7 linked regions of the Macaca fascicularis genome follow. The protein of the gene in region 1 interacts with the protein of each later gene in a biochemical or structural test. Links are inferred from orthologs where the notes say so. Each region holds a gene or a part of one and is shown in the gene's direction. Other genes may lie near its edges.

Evidence for each region.
Region 2: the proteins of ERBIN (region 1) and ATP2B4 interact in a test that uses a peptide from one of them, tested with the Homo sapiens proteins (2 studies listed by BioGRID and IntAct). The link is inferred for Macaca fascicularis from reciprocal best matches to the Homo sapiens genes ERBIN and ATP2B4.
Region 3: the proteins of ERBIN (region 1) and ERBB2 form a complex in vitro, tested with the Homo sapiens proteins (4 studies listed by BioGRID and IntAct, with this or other methods). The link is inferred for Macaca fascicularis from reciprocal best matches to the Homo sapiens genes ERBIN and ERBB2.
Region 4: the proteins of ERBIN (region 1) and ABCA1 interact in a test that uses a peptide from one of them, tested with the Homo sapiens proteins (2 studies listed by BioGRID and IntAct). The link is inferred for Macaca fascicularis from reciprocal best matches to the Homo sapiens genes ERBIN and ABCA1.
Region 5: the proteins of ERBIN (region 1) and ARVCF interact in a test that uses a peptide from one of them, tested with the Homo sapiens proteins (3 studies listed by BioGRID and IntAct, with this or other methods). The link is inferred for Macaca fascicularis from reciprocal best matches to the Homo sapiens genes ERBIN and ARVCF.
Region 6: the proteins of ERBIN (region 1) and PKP4 form a complex in vitro, tested with the Homo sapiens proteins (4 studies listed by BioGRID and IntAct, with this or other methods). The link is inferred for Macaca fascicularis from reciprocal best matches to the Homo sapiens genes ERBIN and PKP4.
Region 7: the proteins of ERBIN (region 1) and ABCC4 interact in a test that uses a peptide from one of them, tested with the Homo sapiens proteins (2 studies listed by BioGRID and IntAct). The link is inferred for Macaca fascicularis from reciprocal best matches to the Homo sapiens genes ERBIN and ABCC4.

What each region holds. Positions count from the first base shown.
Region 1 is NC_088380.1:71,776,305-71,780,250, forward strand, and holds part of ERBIN (erbin), read left to right. Parts: intron 1-641; coding exon 642-734; intron 735-1,205; coding exon 1,206-1,280; intron 1,281-2,728; coding exon 2,729-2,836; 3' UTR 2,837-3,946. UniProt on the Homo sapiens protein: Acts as an adapter for the receptor ERBB2, in epithelia. By binding the unphosphorylated 'Tyr-1248' of receptor ERBB2, it may contribute to stabilize this unphosphorylated state.
Region 2 is NC_088375.1:61,563,067-61,567,012, forward strand, and holds part of ATP2B4 (plasma membrane calcium-transporting ATPase 4), read left to right. Parts: intron 1-2,710; coding exon 2,711-3,019; 3' UTR 3,020-3,946. UniProt on the Homo sapiens protein: Calcium/calmodulin-regulated and magnesium-dependent enzyme that catalyzes the hydrolysis of ATP coupled with the transport of calcium out of the cell. By regulating sperm cell calcium homeostasis, may play a role in sperm motility.
Region 3 is NC_088390.1:60,768,123-60,772,068, forward strand, and holds part of ERBB2 (receptor tyrosine-protein kinase erbB-2), read left to right. Parts: intron 1-736; coding exon 737-888; exon of another isoform or gene 889-951; intron 952-2,066; coding exon 2,067-2,280; intron 2,281-3,037; coding exon 3,038-3,172; intron 3,173-3,529; coding exon 3,530-3,598; intron 3,599-3,808; coding exon 3,809-3,924; intron 3,925-3,946. UniProt on the Homo sapiens protein: Protein tyrosine kinase that is part of several cell surface receptor complexes, but that apparently needs a coreceptor for ligand binding. Essential component of a neuregulin-receptor complex, although neuregulins do not interact with it alone.
Region 4 is NC_088389.1:53,299,994-53,303,939, forward strand, and holds part of ABCA1 (phospholipid-transporting ATPase ABCA1), read left to right. Parts: intron 1-210; coding exon of another isoform or gene 211-283; exon of another isoform or gene 284-310; coding exon 311-389; intron 390-1,245; coding exon 1,246-1,448; intron 1,449-3,114; coding exon 3,115-3,163; intron 3,164-3,358; coding exon 3,359-3,472; intron 3,473-3,946. UniProt on the Homo sapiens protein: Catalyzes the translocation of specific phospholipids from the cytoplasmic to the extracellular/lumenal leaflet of membrane coupled to the hydrolysis of ATP.
Region 5 is NC_088384.1:32,853,295-32,857,240, forward strand, and holds part of ARVCF (splicing regulator ARVCF), read left to right. Parts: intron 1-576; coding exon of another isoform or gene 577-697; coding exon 698-1,197; intron 1,198-1,848; coding exon 1,849-2,032; intron 2,033-2,847; coding exon 2,848-2,965; intron 2,966-3,334; coding exon 3,335-3,506; intron 3,507-3,946. UniProt on the Homo sapiens protein: Contributes to the regulation of alternative splicing of pre-mRNAs.
Region 6 is NC_088386.1:53,923,801-53,928,523, forward strand, and holds the start of PKP4 (plakophilin-4), read left to right. Parts: upstream 1-1,838; 5' UTR 1,839-2,047; intron 2,048-2,297; exon of another isoform or gene 2,298-3,139; intron 3,140-4,723. Other genes in the region: CCDC148 (coiled-coil domain-containing protein 148), read right to left, coding at 1,542-1,838. UniProt on the Homo sapiens protein: Plays a role as a regulator of Rho activity during cytokinesis. May play a role in junctional plaques.
Region 7 is NC_088391.1:86,239,820-86,244,417, reverse strand, and holds the start of ABCC4 (ATP-binding cassette sub-family C member 4), read left to right. Parts: upstream 1-1,643; 5' UTR 1,644-1,762; coding exon 1,763-1,836; intron 1,837-4,598. UniProt on the Homo sapiens protein: ATP-dependent transporter of the ATP-binding cassette (ABC) family that actively extrudes physiological compounds and xenobiotics from cells.

The sequences.
Region 1 (3,946 bases):
TAAAATGATCAATAATATTAGAAAGGTAGAGAACAAATGCTTTATTCATTTTGGTTGTGTCTCTGGTGAAAGGGAGTGTTTTATAACACAAGTTTTAATTCTTGCATCTTTTTCTATAGCTTGGTTATAAAAACTATCAATGGGTCATATTTTAAAATCCTACCTCTTTTGAAGCCTTTAAACAGATTCAGTAAATGAAGAGTTAGTATCACAAAACCACCAGTGGATCATTTAGATATCTTACGAAACAAGCCACTAAACAGAGATACTGTGTAATTTAGATGTCCCACAAGTGGAAACTGATAATAATATACATGTTTTGTGTTTATATACTATGGCATTAAAATCTATGATGTCTAAAAAGTAAAACAGGGTCAATTTTAATTGATTCCTATCCTTATAAGACAAGCAATAAAATTAGGAGCTATGCTTTATATAATCTCAGCTCTGCCTTTAACTCACTAACTCATTAACATAATATTCTATGTTGTATTTCACTTCATCTGACCAAATGTTTATTTTTGATGAATTCTTATGTTTATGTTTGCTTGGACTTAACCCATCAGTATTTAAATATAGATGTTGTGGCATTATAACTTTTTCTGAAATAGTAAGTTTCCTTTATTTTCATATTAACTCAGATTCGAGTGAGGGTTGAAAAGGATCCAGAACTTGGATTTAGCATATCAGGTGGTGTCGGGGGTAGAGGAAACCCATTCAGACCTGATGATGATGTAAGTTTTCTTTGTATATTCTTGAAACACCTATAAAGTTTTATTTGCTGATTCAATACTTATATGTAAGTGAAAATCTAGTAGATGTTTATGTAAATCTAGGTAGACATCACCTTGATTCCCCACTCTATTGCTTACCTTTTTGTTTTGTAATTTGATCAGTTCAAGTTAAAACAATTTAACCAAAAACTATGAATGTTTGTGATATTATCAAGTGATCTTTAATTTTCTTATTGCTTTTTCACACATCTATAAAAGCAATTTTATTACTCTCAAGAGAAATCACTGAAGTCAGAATTACTAGAGGTAAAAATAGCTAGTTTGTTACAGTATTACTCAGAGAAGTCAGGGAGAAAACTTGTACCGTGATTGAAATATTTGCATGGTGTGGAGGAGAAGTTGCTCCTTGGTACTCTGTTATTTATACATACTGTTTTTAGTTAAATAAACAATTTTTTTTTGTTATTAAAGGGTATATTTGTAACAAGGGTACAGCCTGAAGGACCAGCATCAAAATTACTGCAGCCAGGTGATAAAATTATTCAGGTAATTAAAATAAATCTTTGTTTTTCATTTTATAACACTCTAATGTTTTCATAGTTTAAAATGTTTTCACTTCAACTTTGAAAATCGTGGGAGGCTGAGGCAGGAGAATGGCATGAACCCGGGAGGCGGAGCTTGCAGTGACCTGAGATCACGCCACTCTACTCCAACCTGGGCGACAGAGCGAGACTCAGTCTCAAAAAAAAAAAGTTTGATACATCATAGGATTTTGTTTAAGCTCAGGAATGTTAATTTTTACTAATTTGAGGGGGATTAGAGTACTACTTCTTGGATGTGGGCTATTGGCCTTTCAGAAATGGAGAAGAAAATTTTTAAATCTGAGAAACTCATTTTTTCCTGTCCCTTCCTTTTCTTTGTTCTTTCAGCTACTCATTTTACGTAAACACTTGCAGTCTTAGAAGAAGACAAGCCTAGGACACAAGTCTAGCTCTCATTTTCTACCCCTACCATCACTGTTCTTAGTTGAGAACTAAAGAACTAAAAAATAACCCTCAAACCAAGAAAAAAAAAAAGAGAGAGACATTAATATCTAGTAGCTGAAAGTACAGATTCTGAAAACCAGACTTCCCGAGTTTAAATTCTGGTTCCAACACTTTTTAAAAATAAAATTAATTAAAAAAAAAAATTTAAATAATTTCAAGCTTAGAGAAAAGCCACAAAAATAGTACAATAAACACCAATATTACATCATTTGGTCACCAGTTGTTCATAATTTGCTACATTGTCTTTAGCGTTTATTCTCCTCTTTCTTCTGCTTTTCTCCCTCCGTCTATACACACACACACACACACACAGAGAGAGAGTCACACTCACTCATACACTCATACAGTTATACGCGTTTATTTTCCTGAACCATTTGGGAATCTGTAGTTTCAATTTGTGACCGAGCAAGTTACTTTACCTCTCCATGCCTGGGCTTTCTCTTCTCTAAAATAAGATGGTGAAAGAATCTTTTTTGAGCATTATGAGACTCAAAGGATCTAATTCATATTACACACTTAGAATTGTGTATTTGGTACACAGTAGAACCTCAGTAAATATTAACCTTAATTGTAAGAAATATGGTGGTCTTGATGTGATGGCTTCAAGACAATCGGAAGGCTAGCCCTTGCCCCTTGCTGTGCTACAGTTTGGTCACCTCAGACGCACATTAGCATTATACAGCACCATGTCTGACATTATTTCTTAGTGATTCCTAACATTGAACTGCTACATGAGAATTGTCTGAAAAGTTGGACAAAACACACATTTCTAGACCCCATCTTCAGAGACTTTATTCCTTGGTTTGGGTAGGGCCTGTGAATCTACATGTTATTCTAAGTTGCCAAAGTGATTCTTATTTTCTTACAGGTTTGTGAACTACTTGGCAGAAATGCAAATAAATTACTATAAAATGTTTTTCCTAAAAGCATTTTTCCTCTTTCTTCCAGGCTAATGGCTACAGTTTTATAAATATTGAACATGGACAAGCAGTGTCCTTGCTAAAAACTTTCCAGAATACAGTTGAACTCATCATTGTACGAGAAGTTTCCTCATAAGCACTGTGGACAAAAAAAGGGGGGAAGACAGCAAGATTTATTGGAAGATACTTGCAGGGGAAATTAATATTTTGACTATTTTTATATATAAAGAAGAACTCAAAAAATTATGTTCAAATTTGTACATTAATGAAGTAATGGAACTTGTGGTTAGAGGGAAAGAACCACTGTACAGAATATAAAGGAGACTGTTGAATTCATACCATATAAAACTTGTTAGGTTTTTAAACATAGCAATCAAGGCTACAAAAACAAACCTGTGTTGTTTTTGTATAGATTGTAGGTTTATTTTTGGATTTCATATACATGACTGAACTGTGTGCAAGGCAATAGTTAGCCTTGATTTTAGCCCAGAGACAGATGGCAGAGCTATCTCTCTCATAGCTTTTATGCCCTTATTTTTATTCAACTGGTATTAATGTTTTTCTCCTGAAACTACTTTTTTTTGATGTGGGTAAGAGATTTGAAGTGTTGGCTTTTGCTATGTGCATATTGAATTGAAGAGTGAGTAGGTGAAGGTGGTGCTGGTGGGTTCACTTTCCAAGGCCAGATTAAAACAGTTATTTTCTATAAAAATCTGGAAGCAAAGAATGGGGATGGGGGGTACTATGTGGTAGTATGTTTTTATTAAGAGAATAATGCAATAAAATAGGTAATGTCTTTTTTATAAAGCAAAAAAGACAATAATTGCATTTTATGAGCTCGGCAGGATCTGTTCTTGTCATAGCCATTGACTATACATTTCCTACTGGTGATTCAGTTTTTAATTTTTTAGTCACAGGAAATTTTTAACTCTACTGTGGTTGCATGTCCATGCATTCTCTGTGTTATGGAAATCCCGATTTTTTTTTTTTTTTTTGCAAATGGTGGTACTTGCAATCTGTTTTATAATTAGCGCTCCATTTAAATCTAATTTATAATTTTTATTTTAAGCAGCAAATGAAACAAAAATGGCCAGTTTTAAGATTGTGTTGCCTGTAACACAAAATGTAAGAAGGTTTAGGAAAGCCTCTTGATTTTTGTTTGGCCTTGCATTGCCTTGGTAAAGTAAAAGGAAACAGTACGCATGGAGCTAGGAAACCAAAGCAAGTTTGTGAAACTGGCACAGTG
Region 2 (3,946 bases), on another chromosome or scaffold:
TCATCAGCATGTGTTCTCTGAGGCCAGTGCTGGAGTTGGGGCATCCTGGCACAGCCCCCATGCCCTCTCCTCCCTCCCCCTTCTCTCCACCCAGCAAGCCAGCTGGTCACCCCTAGCTCTCTGACCCCTCTTCACATGAGCTTCCTTACAGGTGGCTGGTTTCCCTTTAGATTCCAGAAGTCCTGCAGTCTAGCTGGATGACTGTTTCTTGCTCCCCAAAAGATGTTTCCCGTATTTTTTCCATCTACCCATCCCCAATTCACTTTTATCTCCCTCATTGTTTACCTGTAACAGTATTATTGGTCACCGCAACAGGTGAGAGGAAAAGCCAACAAACAGGGCTCCAGACCCTCACTCCAACCCCAATTGTTGCAAATTTATTTTCTATAGTGGACTTCACATGTAATTTTTTCATAAAGTATTCAATTGAATGGAAGCAGGAAGTTGAAACTCACTGATATTGAAGATAATGTACTGGTGGATAAAGGCACCTGCCCTCCTGTGATAGCTGGTAGAAATTTTGAGATCTTGAAAGCATATGGAAAATGTGAGCTATGTCATCACTCCTGACAGTGACGGCTTTGATGGGGTGGGATGGCTTTGGACCCATCTCTTGGCCAGTGTATCTGTGCCAGGGCCAAAGGAGAAGGCATTGGGTTTGGACTCACTTAATCCAAATTGCCTTGCTCTGAGATTTTATGTAGATCAATGAAAACTTGAGACTTCCTGAAGACCAGATGGAGCCCCCATTCCATCTGATCTCACCTAGATCTGGAGCAAAGGCAACATGACAGGTAAAATTCCCCCATCAGATGGTCAAATAGGAATCAGATAATAAAAATGTGGTCCTCACTTTCTGTTCAGCATGGTGAGTGTGTGCCTATGCTCCCTGATTCCTCTTAGCTGAGGTACTGAGCTGATGCTATTGAGTGGCAAGGAGTCCTTTGCCTTCTGAGCTTTGAGCACCCTCAGTCCTGGGTGGGCTGTAGTAGAGTGGGGCAAGATAAAGAAAGCCTTAGCCAGCAGAGACACATTCTCCTCCAGAGAAAATAGACCAGCAGTATTGATAGTGAGCCGCCTTTGAGTGGTATTTATGAAAGTTCTGTATGGTGGTAGGAAGCACTGAAACAGGTAATCCAAACAGTTAATTTGGCTGACTCTTTGTATCCTCTGCTGTCTCCAAATTCTTGCCTATTCTCCTGGGATATACTTTTTGCTTAAACAGCAGAGGAATGAAAGAGGTACCTTACTCTCACCTTCATCACTCCTACCCCCCCAACCTCAACAATTTCCCCCACATTACTCCCATTTCTTTTCTGAGTGAAGATTTTTGGGACAAGACTAGGATCAGCCACCTTCCAACAACTAAAACTGTCCTATAACCATTTACCTTTCCCCTGGCCCCTCTCTCTAACTTCTTGGAGCTCCAACCCTCTCCCTCTACCCCAATTCTACCAACCATGATTCTAAGCCATGCCTCAGAGAGACCTACAGTTCAGAAAAGCAGAGCTGCCAAAATTGCTGGTGCCTGTGGACAAGCAAAAGCTGTTCACAGGAATCAATTATTGTCAGTTTTTTCTTCATGACTCTGAACTGACCGAATCCCTTCCTTTTTGCACAGTAGGACAGAGACTATGACACTGGGCAATGCATCTCCTTTTGCCCAGTAAAACCGCACAAACTGCACATGGTTTCCTTTCCATCATCCTCTTCACCCACCCCATCAGAAAGGCCACTTGTTTGTAGCACTGCCTCCTGAGTTAGGTTTCTCTCACTGGTCCCTTTCATTCCCTTCTCCACATAAGACTACGCTCCTCTTCACAATTTGGAAACAGCTGGAGAAAGCAGCATGATTGGGCACCATTGCTGTGTATCAGAGACATGAACGTGCATTTGAATCATGAGAGCCAGGTCTTTTCTCAATAGGCAGGAGGAAAGCATCTTTTGACACCTGTATTTTATCCACTTCTTCTAGGGAAGGGGCTGAAGGAGTGAAGTTCTGTTATTTGCTGGGAGGGGACACAGTGGTGGTCGTGGGATGTAAAAATATGCATGTTTCCTGGCTGAAAGGGCAAATTATTACTGGAGAGTTTTAAGTTCCTGCATGCTGCTGACACAAATGAAGACTGGTTTGTCTGCCTGGCTGCACAGTATTCGTGGTCACTCGTCACCCAACGTGTATTATGTGCAGATTGGTGTATGCTGGCTCTTTGAGGTCCTTAAACAGATAACTAAACCTCAATGCATAATTTTTTCATTCCCCATTCACAAAATGTTTGGCCTCAGCACAGAAATCCACATGTCTGAATCATCTTTTTAAGTTTGGCTATCAATTTGCATCTAGTTCCCATGCCCTTGCCCTCCATCTAAAAGAACTAATGAAACTTCTTGTTTTCTGTTTCATTTTAAAAGTAGATTGTTTGGGAATGCTAACGTTGCTTTGGGTTTTCTACTTCTTTAAATGCAGCTTTCAAAATGTCCTAGTTGTTTGCCATCACTCACCCCAGCCCACCCCACTGCTTGAAAGTTGAGCCGTGTGATGTTTCTAGTGCCCCATGATCTCCTCTGATGTGTGTTTGGTTTTGGTTGCTGAGCAGTCATGTTCTATAGTTTGGGTTTTGTTTCTCTCCTAAAACCACCATCTCCTTGTTCTGCCAGCCAATTCTCACCTCCCTATTTTCTCATCCTCCTTTTCCTTCCCCTGGTATAGATCAAAGTGGTCAAAGCGTTCCATAGTTCCCTCCACGAAACCATTCAGAAACCCTACAACCAAAACTCCATCCACAACTTCATGACCCACCCTGAATTCGCCATAGATGAGGAGTTGCCGCGAACACCACTCCTGGATAAGGAAGAGGAGGAAAATCCTGACAAGGCTTCTAAGTTTGGGACTGGGGTGCTCCTGTTGGATGGTGAGGTCACTCCATACGCCAATACAAACAACAATGCAGTGGACTGCAACCAAGCGCAGCTCCCACAGTCGGACAGCTCTCTACAGAGCCTAGAGACATCGGTTTGAATTTTCTTTCTCTGACTCTCATCCCTATTTTCCCTATTTCCATTTTCGCCTGTCGCATCTATGAGGTGATGATGGGACTTTTCATCGTCATGTCAACTGCTGTGTAAACAGCAGTGTGTGTGAACCCCCACCTGACCACGAAGAGGCAAGAGCACAGACTTACAAGGATTTCAACTTAACTTTGACTTGGGGTTTGCAGCGGGGCCCAGTCAAACCCCAGGCAGGTCATGGTAGAATTTACTCCTTGATAGTCACTTGTCATTTTTAAAGAAATGATGACAATCCTCTTGGCATCACCCCACCCCACATTCTCCCCTGATGTTCATCTCCTGAATTCTGGATTTTGTCCTAAAAGTCTGTGCCATTTATAAGCTAAGTTGAGGGTTCAGAGGGAGACAAATATCCCCAAGTGAAATATGTTGAGGTAGAGATGGAATGTCTAAAATCCGCCAGTAGTATGATTGTTTTTCAATTCTCCCACTTTGAAAACTTACACCTAAAGGCCTATAGGCCTCTAACTCTTTCTGCCCTTCCAGTCAAACCTCTCCAAGGTTCTTTTTTGTCTTTGTCTTCCCTTCCTTTCCTTTTTTTTTTTTTTTTTTAATGATGATTAAGAAAATGGAAAGGATATGGGTGAATTGCATAAACTTTGATCCTTCTCCCTTTTGGCCCAAAAGAACCCTTGATTTAGTTCTAGAATCCAACCAGTTTCTTTGTTAAAAGGGTCCCTTTGAAGCAATTAAGTGCTGGTAAGAATATTTCTCAGTTGTTGCCAGGTTACCTTGTGCTTTTAAACTGCCATCTTGTCAGGTATATGTGGTTCTTAAGTGCCAGGGAGATCAGCCTTGCCCATGGAGGTTGCATATGTGTGGTATATATTCAACCCCGCCTCCTTACTGGGCTTGAATATTGAGGGCCAGCCACTGC
Region 3 (3,946 bases), on another chromosome or scaffold:
GTCTTGCCCTGAGGAGGTGGCCAGGATGAGGGTGCTAGCACAGGAACCTTTGGCGCATGCTTCACCCTGGCCTGGGATTTGCAGCCTGGGTCCAGATGCCCACAACTGGAGTCTGATGCTCCTTTTCTCTTCATGGGAGACTCCCAGAGGTCTCTGCAATGACCAGGGCCCCGGTTGCCCGATGCCCCAGCTACAACTCCAGCTGACCCTCCTTCCCCACTCTCTGGGTGGCATTACGGGGGTGTGGATCCCTTGCCAAGAGGTTGGCACATGGGTGTGCTGGAATGGCATAGGGAGAATGCACCGAGTTTGTTTGCTTGGGAGAGGGGCAGGGGGCATCCAGAAGATTCAGGATTCGTCATCGCCTCTCTTGGGGGATTTTTACCCCTTGGCCCTGAGTTGTGCCTTTGGGACAAAGGAAGCCTTTCTTTGCCAGCCAACACCCTGTACTGGCGGGTGAGCTCCACAGGGCTGGCACGCTGGGGCAGCCTCTGGATGCACAGGGTGGGCCTAGTCAGAAGGCGCCTTTCCCCTGAAATCCCTCTACTTCCCAAGCACACAAGCTTTCTCCTGCTGTTAAACCTGCAGTGTGCAAGGGATGTCGGCGGAGGGGTCCTTCAGTCAGCCTTCTCCCTGTCTGAGATGAAATGACTCTGGGAGTGAGTTTGGGTGGGGAGGCCAGGTCCAAGAAGGTCCCCCGCCCGTGTCCTCTGACCCATCTGCTCCCTCCTGCCAGTGTGCACCGGCACAGACATGAAGCTGCGGCTCCCTGCCAGTCCCGAGACCCACCTGGACATGCTCCGCCACCTCTACCAGGGCTGCCAGGTGGTGCAGGGTAACCTGGAACTCACCTACCTGCCCACCAATGCCAGCCTCTCCTTCCTGCAGGTGAGGCCCGTGGGCAACCCAGCCAGGCCCTGCCTCCAGCTGGGCTGAGCCCTCTGTTTACAGGTGGGTGGCAGAAGAAGGTGCCCTGCCCTTTGTTTCCTCTTTTGTTGTGGTTTCTCAACCAGGAAGTCCTTTCTAACGTCTAACCCCCATTCATTTTACTGCAGAATCAGTTGACTCTCTCTCTAATGTGGCTGGCCGAGGTCATCTCTGGATGGGATGCGTCTGTGTTTCCGCTAAATCTTGTGCTCTCTTGCCAGCATGATCATGTCCCCCGTCCACCTGCCCCAGCCACTATCCTTCTCCCATCTACAGCAGCAGAAAGGGCTGGTGAGAAAGGTGGATTACAGGCCCAGTTCTGCCACTGATGAGCCCTATGAATGTGGCCTACACCCCCTTAGCTTCACGGGGTCTCAGTTTCCCTATCTGTATATTGGGAGCAATTGTGAAGCTCAAAAGAGAAATGTCTATGAAAAGATTATGAGCAGGAGAGAGTGGAAACCAACCTGCTGGGTTGTGTCCATGGACCCTGGAGTGGGGCCATGTGCTTGGTTTGTCAAATTGCAGACGCCGGCTGAGCATGGTGGCTCACGCCTGTAATCCCAGCACTTTGGGAGGCTGAGGTGGACAGATCACCTGAGGTCGGGAGTTCGAGACCAGCCTGACCAACATGGAGCAACCCCGTCTCTAATAAAAATATAAAATTAGCTGGGAGTGGTAGCACATGCCTATAATTCCAGCTACTTGGGAAGGCTGAGGCAGGAGAATCGCTTGAACCTGGGAGGCGGAGGTTGCAGTGAGCCGAGATCATGCCATTGTACTCCAGCCTGGGCAACAAGAGCGAAACTCCGTCTCAAAAAAAAAAAAAAAATTGCAGACGCCATCCCATCCAGGCCTTTGCTTTCACTGATGAAGAAACTGAGATGCAGAGAGGGCGGGGTACCTGTTCAGAGTTTACGAAGTGCCCCCCCACCATTATCTTTCTTGATCGTGTAAGAATCTGGTGAGGCAAGGTGGGGCGTGATCTTTATCTCCATTTTATCGTTTTATATAAGAGGGAACAGGACTGCTCAGTGGCTGGGGGCCTTGCCCAAGATCTCCAAGTACTGGGGAACCTCAGGGAGGCCCTGGGGGTGGCAGTGTCCCTGTTTCAGCCCCACCCTGCTTCCCCCTTCCAGGATATCCAGGAGGTGCAGGGCTACGTGCTCATCGCTCACAACCAAGTGAGGCAGGTCCCACTGCAGAGGCTGCGGATTGTGCGAGGCACCCAGCTCTTTGAGGACAACTATGCCCTGGCCGTGCTAGACAATGGAGACCCGCTGAACAATACCACCCCTGTCACAGGGGCCTCCCCAGGAGGCCTGCGGGAGCTGCAGCTTCGAAGCCTCACAGGTGGCCTTCGCCGTCATTGAAACCTTCTCTTGGTTATTCAGAGCTGACCAGGGCCACTGCTAACCATGGGGAGGCTTTGTGTGCATTAGAAATGGTGTCCCTTCTGGGCAGACGCAGGCAGAGCCTGGGAAGACACCCTGAGAAGACTGGAAAAAATTCCCCTTCTTCCTAGGAAGCTGCAGCTTACGTCAGCGCACAGAATTCAATCATGAGAATGCAGGCTGGGTTTTTGCCCCCACTTGGCTGAGTGAAGTGTACAGTGAACAGCCTATGTAACTGTTTGCTGGCCCTGGAGCTGACTCTGCCCCAGAGTCTGGGTGCCAGGTGCTTTGCCCGCATGGCCCATTTCAGTCACACTGCAGTCCTGTCAGGAAAGAATCAGTGTTATTCTCATTTTACGTATGAGAAAACTGAGGCTTGCAGAGATGTGAGTGATGGGGCTGGGTTTCAGACTCCACGGTCTCTTAACCACCAAGCAACATGTCCGGAGTAGAGGTGAGAGGGAAGGAGAAAGCTGCGGTCCACGTGAGCATCTGGACGTAGCATGGACAACTCACTCCTCCCTGGCTCTCGCTTTGTTCATGTTGCGGGGGTGGTGGTGGTGGGCTCAAAGACGGTGACGATATCTTTCTCTCCTCCCTGGGGAATCTGGGGTTGTATAAAAGGCCTGCTCCTCTTTTAGAAGGCAGGAGGGCCCCAAGGGAAGCAGAAGGTGACAGAAGGGGAAAGGGTCCCCTGATCATTGCTCACCCCACAGAGATCTTGAAAGGAGGGGTCTTGATCCAGCGGAACCCCCAGCTCTGCTACCAGGACACGATTTTGTGGAAGGACATCTTCCATAAGAACAACCAGCTGGCTCTCACACTGATCGACACCAACCGCTCTCGGGCCTGTAAGCCATGCCCCTCCCTGCTGCCTCTTCTCTCAGACAGCCTGACCCCAGCCCCAGACTCCCGACTTACAACCCAGTGCCTGCCCGCCACTGCCCCAGCCGCCTACACCCATTTCCTCCCTCTCTGTCCCTCCTGCCATCTCTCTGGGCCTCTTCATCTCTGGGGTTCTCTGTCCTGTCTTCCTCTGCTTCTAGGCTGTGCCTGTGGTTTGGGGGCCTCTCAGCCTGTCTGGGTCCCTCCTTCACTGTGCAGTTGGCCTCGTGGCCTCTGCTGCTGTTTGTGTCTCTCTCCGTTATTAACCCGTCCTCTCACTGTTAGACATCTCTCTCACTGCCTCTCCCTGGTTCTGTCCTCAGGCCACCCCTGTTCTCCAGTGTGTAAGGGCTCCCGCTGCTGGGGAGAGAGTTCTGAGGATTGTCAGAGCCGTGAGTCTCAGGGAGGCCTGGAGTCAGGGAAGGGGAGGGCCAGGACCGGGGCTGGGTGGAATGCAGGTGTCATACGGGTGACATGGGAGGGGTGGGATAACAGGCTTGGGATGTCTTCCCTGGGGCAGGTAGTCTCCCTAGAAGGTGATGCTGATGAGGGTCTGGTGCTCAGGGTGCCACTCAGCCTTCATCCTGCCCTTTGCCCAACAGTGACGCGCACTGTCTGTGCCGGTGGCTGTGCCCGCTGCAAGGGGCCACTGCCCACTGACTGCTGCCATGAGCAGTGTGCTGCCGGCTGCACGGGCCCCAAGCACTCTGACTGCCTGGTATGTGCCTCTGCTGTGTGCC
Region 4 (3,946 bases), on another chromosome or scaffold:
TCACCCTCAGGAAGCAAGGCTGTTCACACAGCACACACATGCCAGACGGGGTCCTCTGAAGCCACGGCTGCCAGTGCATGTGTCCCAGGGAAAGCTTTTTCCTTTAGTTCTCACACAACAGAGCTGCTTGGAAGCCCTCCCTGGCGAAGGTGCTGGTGGCTCTGCCTTGCTCAGTCCCTGATCCGTTCTCACCTCCTTCTTTGCCATCAGGAGGACAGTGTTTCTCAGAGCAGTTCTGATGCTGGCCTGGGCAGCGACCATGAGAGTGACACGCTGACCATCGGTAAGGACTCTGGGGTTTCTTATTCAGGTGGTGCCTGAGCTTCCCCCAGCTGGGCAGAGTGGAGGCAGAGGAGGAGAGGTGCAGAGGCTGGTGGCGCTGACTCAAGGTTTGCTGCTGGGCTGGGGCTGGGTGGCTGTGGGGGCGGGTGCAGCTTGGTGGTGGGTTGGCCTAATGCTTGCTGGGGTGCCTGGGGCTCAGTCTGGGAGCTAGCAGGGCAGTGTCCCAGAGAGCTGAGATGACTGGGATTTGGGGAATCCCTTAGGGGAGTGGACACTGAATACCGGGGATGAGGAGCTGAGGGCCAAGCCAGTGGGCTGGGATTTGAGTCTAGTATATAAGAAGAGTGAGAGCCCAGGAGATCAGGCACAGCCTTCCAGATTTTTCTTGGGTAGCGTGTGTAGGAGGCCAGTGTCACCAGTAGCATATGTGGAACAGAAGTCTTGACCCTTGCCATCTCTGCTGAGTCCTAATGGCTGGCTTTTCCCAGGAAGCCTTCTGCTTCCATGAACTGTTAGATTAACCCTCTATTTAGGTAAATGAGGGAGCCTACTTTTCAAGTATAGGAAAGGGTGAAGAATCTTCTAAGATTCCTTTACTCAAGTTTTCTGTTGAAGAATCCCAGAGCTTAGGCAATAGACACCAGACTTTGAGCCTCAGTTATCCATCCACCCATCCATCCACCTACCCACCCATCCTCGCATCCACCCATCCACCCATCCACCCATCCTACACTGAGTACCTACAATGTGCCTGGCTTTGGTGATACAAAGGTGAATAAGACATAGTCCTTTCCTTTGCCCCCAACCCTCAGACCAGAGATGAACATGTGGAATGATTAAAATACCTGGAACAGGTGTGGTGTATGAGCAGCAGGCTTCTGAGGAGAGGGTGGGGGATGGCCAGCCCTCACTCTGGAGCCCCTCTGCATTGATTGAGCCATCTTTGCATTCTGGTCCCTGCAGATGTCTCTGCTATCTCCAATCTCATCAGGAAGCATGTGTCTGAAGCCCGGCTGGTGGAAGACATAGGGCATGAGCTGACCTACGTGCTGCCATATGAAGCTGCTAAGGAGGGGGCCTTTGTGGAACTCTTTCATGAGATTGATGACCGGCTCTCAGACCTGGGCATTTCTAGTTATGGCATCTCAGAGACGACCCTGGAAGAAGTAAGTTAAGTGGCTGACTGTCGGAATATATAGCAAGGCCAAATGTCCTAAGGCCAGGCCAGTAGCCTGCACTGGGAGCAGGATTATCATGGAGTTAGTCATTGGGTTTTTAGGTCATTGACATCTGAGTAATGTTGACTCCAGTTAGCCATTTAAGATGGTGGTGGGAGACAGCAGGAAAGAAGTATTTTCCTCTGTACCACAGTACATGCCTGAGATTTATTTGTATGTTGAAAACAGTGGTACCTAACAGATTTACATCCCAACCTTAAACTCCTATCCACTTATTTATGTTTTAATGAGCCTCTTTACTCAAGTACAGTGTGAGGACCAGCAGCATCAGGATCACCTGGGAACTTGTTAGAAATTCAGCAACTTGGGCCCAGCTCAGACCTACTGAATCAGAATCAGGAGCAATTCCCTGGTGTGACTGTGTCACAGCCAGGTATCAACTGGATTCTCATACATAGGAAATGACCAACATTTATGAATGGATAGTCTACTTATGCGAGGTGCTGAGATTTGTTTTTTTTTTTTTTAAATCACTGTGACCTCATTTAATTCTCATAAAAAGATGAAAAAATGAACACTCAGGAATGTTGACATGAGATTCAGAATCAGGGATTTGGGGCTTCAAAGCCCATCCTCTCTTTATCCATGTAATGCCTCCCCTTAGAGATCCAACATCACAGACCTTGAGGGCTGAAGGGGATATAAAAGCTGTCTGGCTCAGTGGTCTCCAAGTTTGACAGTGCAGCAGAATCACCTGGGGATGTTACTAAAAGTAAACATTCTAAGGTTTGGCTTCAGGGCCTGTGCATCAGAATTTCTGGAGGTAAGGCCTTGAAGTCTGTACTTCCGTTGCATGCTTCGGACACAGTGGTCTATAGACTCAAGTTTGGAAATTATTGCGCTCATTCAGATTCTCTTCTGATGTTTGAATCTCTGCCATCGTATTTCTAGTGCTCTATTTCCTCCTGCTCATTCTGTATTGGATAACTTGTCATAGTGCTAGCCTACTCAAAGATTTAGAGCCACAGTCCTGAAAGAAGCCACTTGACTCATTCCCTGTAGGTTCAGAACAAATTTCTTCTGCTGCAGTGTCCTACTGTCATAGCTTTTTTTTTTTTTTTTTTTTTTTTGATGAGATGGGAGTTTTGCTCTTACGCCCAGGCTGGAGTACAGTGGTGCGATCTTGGCTCACTACAACCTCTACCTCCCGGGTTCAAGTGATTCTCCTGCCTCAGCCTCCCGAGTAGCTGGAATTACAAGAATGTGCTACCACGCCTGGCTAATTTTGTATTTTTAGTAGAGACGGGTTTTCTCCATGTTGGTCAGGCTGGTCTCGAACTCCCGACCTCAGGTGATCAGCCCGCCTCGGCCTCCCAATGTGCTGGGATTATAGGCATGAGCCATCGCGCCCAGCCATAGCTTTAATTTAAAAATGATTGTCTAGATTGATAGCTCTCACCACTGAGGAAATGTTCTCTGGCAAAAACGGCTTCTCTCCCAAGTGACTCTGACAAAGTGTTATTAAGAAATGTGGCTTCTACTTTCTCTGTCTTAAGGGGCTAACATGCCACTCAATAATGTAATAATCATGGCAGTGATGACTGCTTTCGTAATGTTGGTGCTTATAATGTTCTCACCTGCTCTCATTTTGCAGATATTCCTCAAGGTGGCTGAAGAGAGTGGGGTGGATGCTGAGACCTCAGGTAACTGCCTTGAGGGGGAATGGCACACTTAAGATAGTGCCTCCAGCTGGCTTTCTCAGAGCATGAGTATTGTTCCTTTCCCTTTGAATTGTTCTATTGCATTCTCATTTGGAGAGTGTAGGTTTGTTGCAGATGGGGGAAGTTTGTTTTGTTGTAAATAAAATAAAGTATGGGATTCTTTCCTTGTGCCTTCAGATGGTACCTTGCCAGCAAGACGAAACAGGCGGGCCTTCGGGGACAAGCAGAGCTGTCTTCGCCCGTTCACTGAAGATGATGCTGTTGATCCAAATGATTCTGACGTAGACCCAGGTATGTTAGGGCAAGATCAATCAGTGTCCCACTGTTTGAATGTGAAATTCTCTCTCATGCTCCCAGCTGTTTTCTTGGGATGGCCTTTAGCCAAGGTGATAGATCCCTACAGAGACCAAAGAGATGTGAGGAAATGATAAAAGCCCCTTGTTCTTTGCAGCGTTGTGCATGTGATCAAACCTGAAAGAGCCCATCCATATCACTTCCTTTAAAGACGTAAAGATGGTGCCTCAATCCTCTGAACCCATGTATTTATTATCTTTTCTGCAGGGTCCTAGTTTCTTGTATATATTAGGTGTTTAATTGTTGAACAAATATTCTTTCAAGTAGATGAATTATTTTGAAAGAGTCAGAAAGGGGAATTTGCTGTTAGAGTTAATTGTACCCTAAGACTTATATATTTGAGGCCGGGCACGGTGGCTCAAGCCTGTAATCCCAGCTCTTTGAGAGGCCAAGGTGGGTAGATCACCTGAG
Region 5 (3,946 bases), on another chromosome or scaffold:
CCAGAACCCAGAGCCCTGGCCCTTGTCACAGCCCATGATTCTGTCCCCATTGCCCTCAGTTTCTGCATCTCTGGAGTGGGGACATGACCACAGCCCGGGTCTGGATTCTGTTGTGTGACCCTGGCCAAGTCACCTGACCACTCCTAGCCTCAGGGCAGTGGGTTTGATGACAGCAAACCACAGGGCTACTGAGAGTTAAGGAGATCTTGTGCCCCAAGGGCCTGGTGGCCTGAACACCCCTCGGGTGGTCCTACTGGGATGGCTTCATGTGGAGAGAGCCATCTACCCCCTCTCCATCCTGACACAGCCAGAGATGGGCCTCATGGAAGATGGGGTGGTTTCGTGGAAGGGAGGTGGGTCTCTCCAGCAGCCCTAGCACATATCGCACAGAAACATGTTTTGCTTGGGATCGGGGAACACTGCCTGGTGACAGCAGTGAGTGAGCTTGCTGTCCTGGGAGGGTTGCCTGGGTCCTGATAGCCTCTGGCTGGGGTTTGGCATTTGGCTGTGAATTGGTTCTCACTGGGCTGGTGCATGACTCTCTGTGTCCCCACCATGCTTCGGGCGGAGATGCAGGTGCTCTCAGCCCAGCCCTGCTGGGTGAGTTTGCAGTCCTGAAGAAGGTGTCATGGGGCAGCTCAGAGGCGGGGCTGGCGGCTGCTGTGACGATGTCCACGCACCCCACTTGCCTGTGCAGGGCCTACGAGGACGCGGCAGTTGATGGCGGCGAGCTGACAGATGAACGGCCTGCGTTCCCAGCGGTGACGGCGCCCCTGGCCCAGCCTGAACGGGGCAGCCTGGGCAGCCTGGACCGGCTGGTGCAGCGCTCGCCCTCAGTGGATAGCGCCCGCAAGGAGCCGCGCTGGCGGGACCCTGAGCTGCCTGAGGTGCTGGCCATGCTGCGGCACCCCGTGGACCCCGTGAAGGCCAATGCGGCCGCCTACCTGCAACATCTGTGCTTTGAGAACGAGGGTGTCAAGCGGCGTGTACGGCAGCTGCGGGGGCTGCCACTGCTTGTGGCGCTGCTGGACCACCCGCGGGCTGAGGTGCGGCGCCGGGCCTGTGGGGCACTGCGCAACCTCTCCTATGGCCGTGACACTGACAACAAGGCCGCCATCCGGGACTGTGGTGGTGTGCCTGCCCTGGTGCGCCTGCTGCGGGCCGCCCGGGACAACGAGGTCCGCGAGCTTGTCACTGGTGAGTGGGACCTGGCCATGCCCACATCCCCTGGGAAGAGAAGAGTGCGAGGCTCAGCACGGGAGGAACGAGGCCACACGGCCTGCGACCGCCTGGGAGAGTGCCCGGTGGGCAGGAGTGCAGCCACTGAGACGCTTGCCCCAGGAGCCAGTCATCAGGCCCAGATGCTGTGACAGGCTCCCCAGTCTCTACCATAGGCAGGAGGCTGACAGTGGGCCCCTCAGGCATGTCCCCTCACCTCCTGCCCCCACAGAAACTCCCCTGGGACCTGCCTCCTTGGTTCCCACCCCAACAGTGCAGTGGTGGGGCTTGTGCCTTGTGGGACCTGAGGGACAGGTAGGGTCACCTGACCGTGTCTCTGTGAGGCCCTGTGGCCTCAGGAGTGTTAGTGCCACCTGCCGTGTGGCAGGGAATGGGTGGGACGGGACAGTACTGCCACACCCTTCTCTGCACCTCCTCCCCTTTGGGGTTCCTTCCTAGCTGGAAACCAGTACTAGTGTCCCTCAGAACCACTCACGGCTTTTGTTACTTCCTACTGTTCTGTGTGAGCTGGGACATGAGGAGAGTGGGACAGGTCCTGGGCGTGGCCACCTGGGGAGGTAGGCGGGCGGTGCATATGGTCAGCACGGGTTGGCCAATCGCACCCCACAGGCACACTGTGGAACCTGTCGTCATATGAGCCCCTGAAGATGGTCATCATTGACCATGGCCTGCAGACACTGACCCATGAGGTGATCGTGCCCCACTCAGGATGGGAGCGTGAGCCCAACGAGGACTCCAAGCCACGGGATGCTGAGTGGACAACTGTCTTCAAGAATACGTCGGGCTGCCTGAGGTGTGGACCAGGCCTGGTGCTAAAGCCTCAAGCACACCAGGCCCTGTCCTTGTGGTCCCAGATAGTGTGGAAGATGGCAGCAAGCTTAGGAGCACCAGAGCCTGGGAGCTTCAGAGCTGTGGCACAAGTCCTGTGGATGAGAAGTGGGGCCTGATGGGGCTGTACTCACCCCCAAGTGGTGCCCTAGTCTTCCCAGGGGCACCCTCTGGAGGGGTCTGTGTGGTACCATAGCCCTGCTTAGCTCTCACCTACCTTCCCATCACTTGACAGCCAGAGGGGAGCTGGGACCTCCCTGTTCATCTGCCTGGGAGCCTCATACCAGCCACCTGTGACCTCTGCCCTTCCCCTCCTACCCCTGGGAAGCCCTGCTGACTCCACAGAGTCCTGGGTCCCCACAGTCTTGCTTGTCCATCAGGGTGTTCCCCCGCAGCCCTGCAGGCTCTTGACCTTGGGGTAAGGTGGGGCCTAGAGCTGCCATTGGGGTGGCGAGGGACCCAGAATTGCCTATGCATAGGTTCAGGTCTCTCTGAGTCTACCTGTCCCTTTCTAGGTCAGCTGGGAGGCAGGAAAGCCCTGTCTTCCCCTGCCCAGCTTCCCCAGCCAAGACAGCTGTCTGCCAGGGCTCCCCTCCTGAGGCCGGGGGCAGTTCGCTTCTCCCACTTCGCTGAGCTCCAGGCTGTGGCGTCCTTTCCCAATAGTGCTAGGAGGGCAGCAGCAAGGCCTGTTTTGCAGATGAAGACAAGCCCATGAGGCCAGAGTGGGGCTGGGGAGTTTGTGATAGCCAGGGGTCACCTGACCTGCTCTTGGCCACACAGGAATGTGAGCTCTGATGGTGCTGAGGCCCGGCGGCGACTCCGGGAGTGTGAAGGGCTGGTGGACGCGCTCCTGCATGCCCTGCAGTCGGCAGTGGGCCGGAAGGACACGGACAACAAGGTGGGCAGGGACGGTCACAGCCTCATACCAAGGGCTGGAGAGACGATCATGCGGGTCCCGGGAGGCTGGAACTGTGGGAACAGCACAGGGGAATGGGTTTGTGGGTCTGGGGCGGCGTTCTGGGCATGGCCTGCCTCACAGTGACCACACTGAAGTAGGCACTGTCCTGCAGGCAGAAGATGCTCCATGAGGCAGGGGCTTCCTCCCATGGACCCTCCCTGGTGGTTACCGCCCTTTTGTCCCCCCGACTGAGGCCTCCCTGTCCCTTTGCTCCTGGTGCCTTCATGCACACCACCTGTGGCCAGTCTTTCCTGAGGGCTGGCCCTGTGCCTAGGGTGCCCTGCCCCAGCCACTCACCTCTCCCTGCAGTCGGTGGAGAACTGCGTGTGCATCATGCGGAACCTGTCCTACCACGTGCACAAGGAGGTGCCCGGGGCCGATAGGTACCAGGAGGCCGAGCCCGGGCCCCTGGGCAGTGCTGTAGTCTCCCAGCGCCGGAGGCGGGATGATGCCAGCTGCTTTGGTGGCAAGAAGGCCAAAGGTGGGTGGGGCGGACTGGGGTACCATCTCAACTCCTGCCCCAGCTGAAGGCTCTCTGTACACCCACAGCAGCCCATCATGGAGGCCAGAGGACATCTGCACAGCCCCCAACAGGCAGGCAGGGAAGCTGGGAGCCAAGGAGGCTGGGCTGCCCTGGGTCACATGGTTGACGGGGCCCAGGGTTGGGGGCCCAGGTCCAACCTTCCCCATCTACACTGTGGGACCTGCAGAGAGTACACAAGGGAAGCCTGGTGGTCCCACTGATGCCCAGACCCAGTCTCTATTCCGGGGAGAGTTCCACTCGCCCATGAGTTGAGAAAGAGCCATGGCTATTGCTGCCTGCTGACTGTTTACAGAATAGCTGTAGACTGCCTCCAACCTGTGGGGCAGTCACCCATCTGCCTGGGCAAGATGCCCTGCACACCTTCTCTACCGCACTAG
Region 6 (4,723 bases), on another chromosome or scaffold:
TGTGTCTTATATAACAATTTGTGGTTTACTTTTTCTATTATATAAACAAAAACACATACTAAAAAGCCAGAAGAAGTTAAAAACAGCCTATTTCCATGATGGCCAGCCATGGCACAGCACTTCCTGGCCCCTGAAGATCCCTTCCCAATTCTGAAAATATTTAGGGGGAACATTCACATGTTCACCTCTTTTTTACTACAAATGTGGAGAGGTTTTTTTTTTCCAATCAAGGCACCATATTAACATTTCTTAGGTTACATCTTTGTAATCTTCAAATATAGTAAGATAAAAACCGGTAGCAAAGCGTATCACTCAACTTAAAATTCAGAATACTGAGACATATGCAGCTTGCACACACATTAATCTGTTTCTCTCAACAAAATATTTGTAATTTCCAAAATCCTATCAGCTTTTTCACACAATATGGTCCCTCCAATTTGAGGGGCAGTAACGTAAACATAGTCTCCTTACTAAAAAGATTAGTCTTAAAAAAGTAAAATCACCAAAAGAAAGAATGTAAGAATATCAGTGGCTATAAGCTAGAGCAATATCATGTTTTAAAGCCTTATATGTTCATGAAATCTCACTTTAAGAAGGTGATATCTAAATACAAAATATATTGGCAAAACAATTAGTATTGACAAACTAGCACAAAATGATTTTAAATGAAAGTAGAAGACATTATTAAAGCTGAAGATTTTTGTGTGTACTGATTTCATGCCTCAGGTTATTTCCATATCAAATTTAAAGAGATACTGGAAAATAGAAAACAAAATCCATCAACTGTAATCCATTTCCCTTACTCTTCTGTGAAATCATCAGAAGGCGTGAAGGACCGTTTCTATTTCCTCTATCTTTATCAAGCCAGTAACCTCTCAAGCGAAAGAACATGCACCTGTCAAGCTCATCGTGCAGGATGTACACACAGATGTGTTTAATAAATATCTGCCCACAGGGAGATTAGAGGTTTGCTTTGAGAATCAGGGAACAGGCTAGCTCATGTGTTGACGCTTTGGCATCTATCATACAATCCGCCACCTTGTTTCCCTACCAAAATAACCTCAAAGGAAATCCTCTTTGAGTCTTCTTTGAGAAGTGTTATAAGTTTGAAGACCCAAAACGTTGAGGCAAGATCCACCTCAGGGAAGGGGGAGTGGCTGGGGAGAACAGCGTAAGTAGGATTTAGGTGGCTCAGTGACGTCAGGAGGAAGCAGCGATGGAAGGGATGGGGTGCAGACTCACCTGGAGAAGCAGAAGCTGCACACATGTCAAAGGTCAAAGGGCATAGCCTCAGGGACTCCCCACACGCAGGAAAAGTGAAACGCCCATTCCTGGGCTCTCACCGTCAGGGGTACGTCTAAGGGCTCAGCTGTTCCTACCTTTGATACCAGGGACAAACCCTACCAGGCACAGTTGGGGTTGGCAGTAAGGCAAAGGAAAACCTGCCCCAGATTTCAGAGCCAGCGCTGGGGAATCTCCCTGTCCTCTCCGCCACCCCCTCCCGCGCCCGAGACCTGAGACACCTTCAGCCTCACACCCACCTTCTCCAGGCCCTCTTGCGCTGAACAGCATCGGTCTCTATGGCGACCTGAAACCGCAGCTCCCATTGGCCCGTTCAATATGAGGGCCGGGCCAATGGGGAGGGCCAGCCCTCTCCTTCCCGCCAATGGGGTGGCGGGAGCTGGCCCGGGGACGGCGGCGTGCTGACGTTCCCGGGAGCCCGGGGCTGGCCGGGCGGGAGGGCTGGCGGCCGGGCGGGCGGCGGCGGCGGCCTCTGGGCAGTAGAGGGGGCTCCGGGGCTGAGTCCGCGTCGACGCCGGCCGCGGAGGCGGCACCATGGGCAAGGGGTAGAGGGGCAAGTTGGCCACCGCCGCCGCCGGGGGTGGTGGGAGAGCCGCTCCGGGGGAGGGGGCGGGTGGGGGAGGGAGGGGCGGGCAGCCGCGCGGCCGCGGCACTTTTTTAATTTTTGCGGGTGCCGCAGCGGCGACCCCTCGGCGCCGATGTCCCTGATCCCTGGAGCGACGACGGCCGCAGCCTAAGCTGGAAAGTAAGTGTGTGGGCTCGCGGGAGGGCGCGGAGACTCCTGCCCACGAGACCCTCGGCCCTCGCCCCGAACACGCGCCGGGGCCGGGACCTGCGCACCGGGGGCTGGGGGCCTCCCTCCCGCTGCCCCGTCCCCAGCGCCTGGCGGCCGCCGCGGCTTTCCTGCCCCGCCTCGTGTTCCTGCCCGCACTCGCCTGCTGCTCCCCTCCCCCCGGCAGGCGCACAAGTTTCACCCTCCATTTGCTTTTCCCGGCGATTCCTCTCCCTGGTCTCCCGTACGCGCCGCGCACGACCTCTGCCTACGCTGGGCTGTGTGGATCAGGAGCCCCCAGCCCCGAACTTGAGCGCCGCGCTGAGCCTTGCTGGACGCCCTCGCGGCGGCTTCCCCGCTGCCTGCCGCCCCGCGGCCCCTGCGCCCCCGACACCACAGGACGCCCGCCCTCCTCAGCCCTCGGGGCTGGCTGGCTGTCGTTGCAGCCCCAGATCCTGCACCTTGGCCCCCTCCCCGTCTTCCCACGCCCCTGCTGCCCGCGCGGTCTTGCGTTTGTCCCCGAAGTCCTGCACTCCTTGCCGGTCCTGCCCACCCCCTCTGCCCAGTGCGCCCCTCTCTACTGGCCGCGGATCCTCACGCTCCACCCCTCCCGGCTTCCCAGCCCGGAGCCTCGCCGCTGCCCTCCTGCGCCGCCGCTTCCTCCTCTCCCTGCCAGGAGTTGAAGCGGAGCTGCGGCACCTCCCTGGCGGATCTGGTATCCCCCCCACCGGCTGCTGAGGCTGCCGGCCCTCTCCCCTGGACCGCCACCCGAAGAGCGAGCGGCGGGGCCGGGATTTGGCTGCGTGTTGGCTGAGTGCGACACACCGCGAGCGCGGGCAGTGGAGGCGCCGCGGCGGCCGTGGCCGCTCGGGGCGCAGCGGTAGTCAGGTGTGTGTGTACAGCGGGGGACGCGCGCTGCCGGCTCCTGGGCTGGCGACTGATTGTGCAGGAATGCGAGGAATGCACCAGGGGCAGAGTCCACACAGCCCGCCGCGGCTGCACTAGCGCCTTCCCTCCCCAGCTCTCGCCGCGCAGCCAGAGGTCACCGGAGCATCTTCGGAGCTGGTGAGCCTCATTCCTCTCCTCTTCTCCCATTGCTTCCCTCCATGCGGCAGAGGGGAAGCGCGGTAATTCTTTGGGGCTCCAGCTAGCATTTCGTCTGGGTTTTTGCTTCATTGGTCTTCAGAACCGTGAATTTGGGGCCAATGACTCTGTAGCCAAGGTTATTGATCATTGCACAAGGCTGTTTGCAAGTTTGGTGTGCAAGGTTTGGATAGTACCTGGTTTTTACCAGGGTTTTCTGAAAACCAGCAGGAACAGGGGACCTGAAGGTTCTTAGAGTAATGAGCTTGGGGCCAACATATTTTAGCTCTATCAAAAAAATGCGTGTTAGTGCTTATGGACGGGCATGTACTGCAAGAGAGATCTTGAATGCATCACTTTGGTATCCTAAGAAGTGTAATTTTTTCCCTCGTCATACTGGTCGGTGTTTAGACCTCGTATAATACATAATGAATAGAAACAGAGAAGCACTGTTTGGTCAGCGATGGGACAGATAGAACTGTCTGGTACAGTTAAATTCGGGGCGTGTCAGTTACCATTGAACTGACACGGGGACACCACAATCATGTATATTTCAAGATGTTATTTATTAGTGGAGGTCTCAGTTCTTTGTTACTGAGTTTGACTGAAAAAAAAATGCTGCCCTACAACTTTTAAAGAACGGTAATTATTTACGTGTAAAATCAATGATGGTCAGTATGCATTTTTGGTCAAATTTTGTTTTCCTTAATACGGGAGAGCAAAATTTTGACAGAAAATGGTTCGCGAGAATTGAGCTTAGATTCTTTTTATTTTAAAAGAGAAACTAGAAGAATGCTTGTCTTCTTGAATGCAGTATATTGCTGTGAGAGTATCTTCGTTTTGGTGCCTGTAAAACAGTTATGGAAAATAGCAACATGAAAACGAGAACAACTAATGTCTGAAATAAGTGTTTCCGGATGTTGAAAAGCATCGTATGTGTGTTTTTATTTGACACAATTTGCTTGGAAGGTTGCATTTATGACAAACCTCTATGCACCTGGTTATTTTATGTCAGATTCAGTAAAGTCAGATTCATAATAAGTCAGTTGTCTGACCAATCCGCTTTCTTCCAACACCTACTTTGTGTAGATCAAGGACATCGAAAACTATCAAATAGGAACCTTTAGTTAAGGACTCAACAGAAAGGAAAAAAAATAGAAAAAAAATATTTTGCACTCAGAAAGATTTATCTTTTGGTTGCTACGTTGTTTTTCAGCTGTGTGCATAATCAGTGAATCTTCTAATTTAGAGGTTTAATTTGTGTCCAGTAACACTATGGAGGATATTGGGAGGTGTTTGTAAATGCTAACAGGAAACTTTTATTATGTAACAATATCATATTACAGCAGAGTTTAACCCATGCTTAACCCGTGCTTATTTGACTTGATGTCAAGATGAGGAAGTAAAAGCAAATTTAGTTTCCCTGCCGCATTAGAAATTGAAAACCCTCTTCAGATGTATGGATCACACACACACACACACACACACACACACACACAATTGGCTGTGCAAATAGTTTTGCCTGCTTCAGTTAAAGGTAACCTTTCGATTAGAAATGCTTTCTAT
Region 7 (4,598 bases), on another chromosome or scaffold:
GAAGTAACTGAAGACTTAGAAGTGGGAGTCCAAAAGCTTGGAACAAGATTTTGTTCATTCATTCCTACAGTCGTTCAACCAGCATATTCTGGCCACGTCTCGTGCACACTGGTCATCCACCAGGGAGATTGGCCATGCTTAGGCACAGGCTTAATGTAAATCATGTTTAATCCTTTCTTGGCTCTAAGACCCTGGACAAGTTCTGCCTTTCAGCTTCACCTTCCTCATCTATAAAATAAGAATAACCTTGAATGTGGCACTGATAGAATTAAAAGTGAGATAATTGGTCGGGTGTGGTGGTACATGTCTGTAATCCTAGCACTTTGGGAGGCCACGGAAGGAGGATCACTTGAGCCTAGGAGTTTGAGACCAGCCTGGGCAACAAAGTGAGAAATTATCAAGGAACAATAAAATGATCTTGTTACAAAGAAAACCAAATTCTCAAACATGCATGAAATATGAAGAAAATAAACTCCCATGACACATCATTTGGCTTCAAAAATTATCAATATTTGAACTTAGAGCCTTTGATTTTGATTTTTGCATCTCTACAAAAATTACAAAATATTAGCCAGGCGTGGCGGCGGGTGCCTGTAGTCCTAGCTACTTAGGCTGAGTTGGGAGGATTGTTTGAGCCCTGGGAGGTCCAGGGTGCAATGAGCCATAATCGAGTCACTGTGTGTGAGACTGCCACACACACACACACACAAGTGAGACTACGCACTCAGAAATGCACATAAACATAATTGGTCTTCTGGAACACATGTGTCGTTTGCCACTGTTATCTGTTAGGCTTTAGGGCTTGATGACAGAAATCATAAGGCAGTCTCTCTTTCCTCTTACATTCCTTTCCCAATCTAAGAGGGCAGCAAAAAGCTCAGAGGTCCACAGTACCACGCAACGTGTGAGATGCCGAAAGCCCGCCCCGTCGAAAGCCCGCCCCATCGACGACAGCATTCATCCATCTCCCAAATTCATCTGGGTCCTACTCTCGAGTTACCCGGCTTTCTTGAGGTCTTGCAGCTCTACAAGGATAATCTGTGCTAAACTTTGCTGTCGTCCGAGGTCAAATGTTTGGCTCACAGGTTGGAGAGCCTCCCATGGCACCCGCGTTTGGTCCTGAGAAGGGCAAGGCGCCCAGGGGGCGGTCTGGTGGAGCACGAGGCAGCTGTCTCCCAGTCTCCCCAAATCCGTGCCCGAGGGGGCGTTTCTGCGTCGCAGGGGCGGGCACAGCCGACGCCTCCCTGCTCCACCTTCTGGGTCGGCGCCTAGACTCGGATAGTGAATTTCGGGAAGTTTCACTCGGGTGCGAGCACGTGGGCACCTCAGGACCCGGGCTCCGCGCCGTGCGCTCGGCTACCCTCTCCATCCAGCCGCGCGGGCGGCCCTCGCCTCACCCCTGGGCGTGGCTCTGGGCTCCCTTTGGCGTCGCCAGCTTCGCCTCCTCTCGCCGCGTCTCCTCCCGCCGCGTCACCCGTCGGTCCCGGCCGAGCTCGCACGCGGTGCGCGGCTCCCGGGCTCCAGGCGGCGGCGCGTAACGGGCGCCCCCGAGGCGGCCCTGGTAGCGGCGGGCCTGAGAGGCGGGGACTGGGCGTGCCGCCGGCGCCCGGCTCCCGGAAACGGCTGCTTCACAGGCTCCTGCCGAGCAGACCGGCGAGGCGGCGGGAGCTCCAGCATCTCTGCTCACGGTCCAGGAGGGGAGCCCGCGGCCACCGCCGCCTGATCAGCGCGACCCCGGCCCGCGCCCCCCACGCCCGGCAAGATGCTGCCAGTGTACCAGGAGGTGAAGCCCAACCCGCTGCAGGGCGCGAACCTCTGCTCGCGTGTGTTCTTCTGGTGAGTGTCCCCGCCCGAAACAGGTCACCCTGCAGCCGTTGGCCCCGCTGACGCGCTCTCCCGGGGCCGCGCTCGATGCTGCCCCAGCCTTCTGCGGCTGGGGGCGAGGGGAGCGCTTTCCTGTGCCATGCGGTCCACGCCGGGCTTTCTGCTGCGGTGGCGCCGCCCCACGCCGGCCGCATGGTCCCCGCCTGCGCCCCTGTGCGCGGGGCAGGGGGACGCGGGGACGCGTGGACCCGGCGCTGGTGGCGCGGGGCCAGCGGCTTTGCTGCTGGAGGCCCTGCGGGCCCTTAGGGCTCCGGGGAGGAGGAGCGGGAGGTGGGGAGGCGGGGAACCCAGGCTGCCGAAAGGGGGAGTCTCTTGTCCAGCGGGAGAAGCGACTGCACCCATTACACGCCCACTCTTCGCTGGCTGCCACCTCCTGCTCCGAGACTCACAGTCTCCTGAACTCAAACGCACCTTTTCCTTTCCTTTTAAGTAAGCAGCTTACGAACAGCTTCCTTTATCTAATCTCAGCCAAAGCCTAATTAGTGTCCTGGACCTATGCCATCTCCCAATAGTGTCCCCCACCCCTTCCGATATTCCTTACGAGACAGCTGGATCCACCTCCACGTCCCGTTGTGTCTCTCTGTGTCCCGATGTCTCTGTATCGTTTGTCTCAGTGACCAGGGCTCTCCTGTCTGTGTGTGAATCTCACTGTGTGTCCATGTGGGTCGTGGTACCTAGTTATGGCAAGTTTCATGTGGGTAAAAAACACTATTATTTTTTTATTTATGAATGAGGACTCTGTTATTGAACAAGATTTTCCAAGTTTTGCTTTTAACTGGTACATACACCGCCACGACTGGAGTCTGTCTTTGACCAACTTCTTTCCCTGTTTCCAGTATTTTCACTTCCACCTAGGAGGACTGCGCCGGGGTGGGGTCCCTGGAATCGCTAACCTTCAGAGAGGTGATCCATGGACTTGATGCAGGTGGTTCCTACCAGGAGTTCTAGCATCTTAAAACCACCCCAGGGCTCCTGAGCTGGGAGGGCCCACAGCCCTACCCATTTTCTGCAAGGAAACAGGTGGAGAAAGACTCAGGTGATAGTTGTACCTGAAACTTCCATCTTGGCCTGGCGCAGTGGCTCACGCCTGTATCCCAGCACTTTGAGGGGCAGAGGCGGGTGGATCACGAGGTCAGGAGTTCGAGACCAGCCTGGCCAACATGGTGAGACCCTGTCTCTACTAAAAATACAAAAATTAGCTGGGTGTGGTGGAGCACGCCTGTAATCCCAGCTACTAGGGAGGCTGAGGTAGGAGAATTGCTTGAGCTCAGGAAGTGGAGGTTGCAGTGAGCTGAGATTGCACCACTGCACTCCAGCCTGGGTGACAGAGTGAGACTCTGTCTTGAGGGGCGGGAATTCCATCTGCTAACTACATAAGCCTGAACCTTTGAAGGGCTTCAATCTCACTTGGTTGATTATTAGATCTTCTGTTTCTTGACTTCTGCTGCCTCATCTTTCCCACATGTTGATATTGCCTTTTATTATGGGACAGCCTAGGGTGGGGGTCTCCAATCTTTTGGGTTCCCTGGGCCACACTGGAAGAATTGTCTTGGGCCATACATAAAATACACTAACACTAATGATATCCTAACACTAATGACAGCTGATGAGCTAAAAAAAAAAAAAAAAATCGCAAACAAATCTCATGATGTTTTAAGAAAGCTTACGAATTTGTGTTGGGCCACATGCAGCCCACGGGCCTCAGATTGGACAAGCTTGACCTAGGGGATTCCAAGAGGATGGGTCGCTTACTCTTGTTTCGATTGTGATACACTCAGTGAGTGTAGGACCCTCTGGGTTGGCGGCCTTTCTCTTGAGGCGAGAGGCGCATGGAGGAGGAAGCAATATGGGTGTGGTTTCTGTAAATAATAACTTGAAGTAGACAAATGGTCTCCTCAACTTCAGGCAGGGCAAGGAACTTTTTTTTTTTTTTTTTTTTTTTGAGACAGGATCTTGCTTTGTGCAAGCTGTGACCCAGGCTGGAGTGCAGTGACACATTCGTAGCTTGCTGCAGCCTCCAACTCCTGGGCCAAAGCAATCCTCCTGCCTCAGCTTCCTGAGTAGCTGGGGCTCCAGGTGTGTGTCACCATGCCTGGATAATTTAAAAAACAGTTTTTTTGTAGAGATGGGGCTCTCTAATTTGTTGCTCAGGCTGGTCTTGAACTCCTGGGCTCAAGTGTTTCTCCCGCTTTGGCCACCCAAAGTGCCAGGATTACAGATGTGAGCCCTGCCTCCTTACATTTTCTCCCCCTACATTTTCAAAATTTAGGTGGTAGGGAAATAGGAAGTGATGCCTTCCCATTGAGGACTGGAGCAGGTGTTCATTTCCGGTTTCCCTGATGGAGGGGAAGGAGCTAGTACCTCTATTTTACTGTGAGGACACTTAAGCTGAGAGTAGTTGAGTAAGTTGCCTGGACTCACACTGCAATCAAGTGTCAGAGCAGGCTCCAAAGCTGGGCAGACTGGCTCCCCAGCCTCTTTGGAGCTGCTGTACTGAGCTGCTTCCAGTTCAGGTGCTTGTTGGAAATGCATGGAGAAGGCACCCCCTGTTCTGGCAGGCTGGAGTTTCTCAAGGGAAGTTCTTAAAGTGCCTGCAGTTGGAGATGATGCATGTGTAACAACTTTTACTGTGCTTTAGGGCAGCTGTTCTCAAAGCATGGTACTCAGAGCGGCAGCATCAGCATCACTTGGGAGATTGTAAGAGATGCAGACTC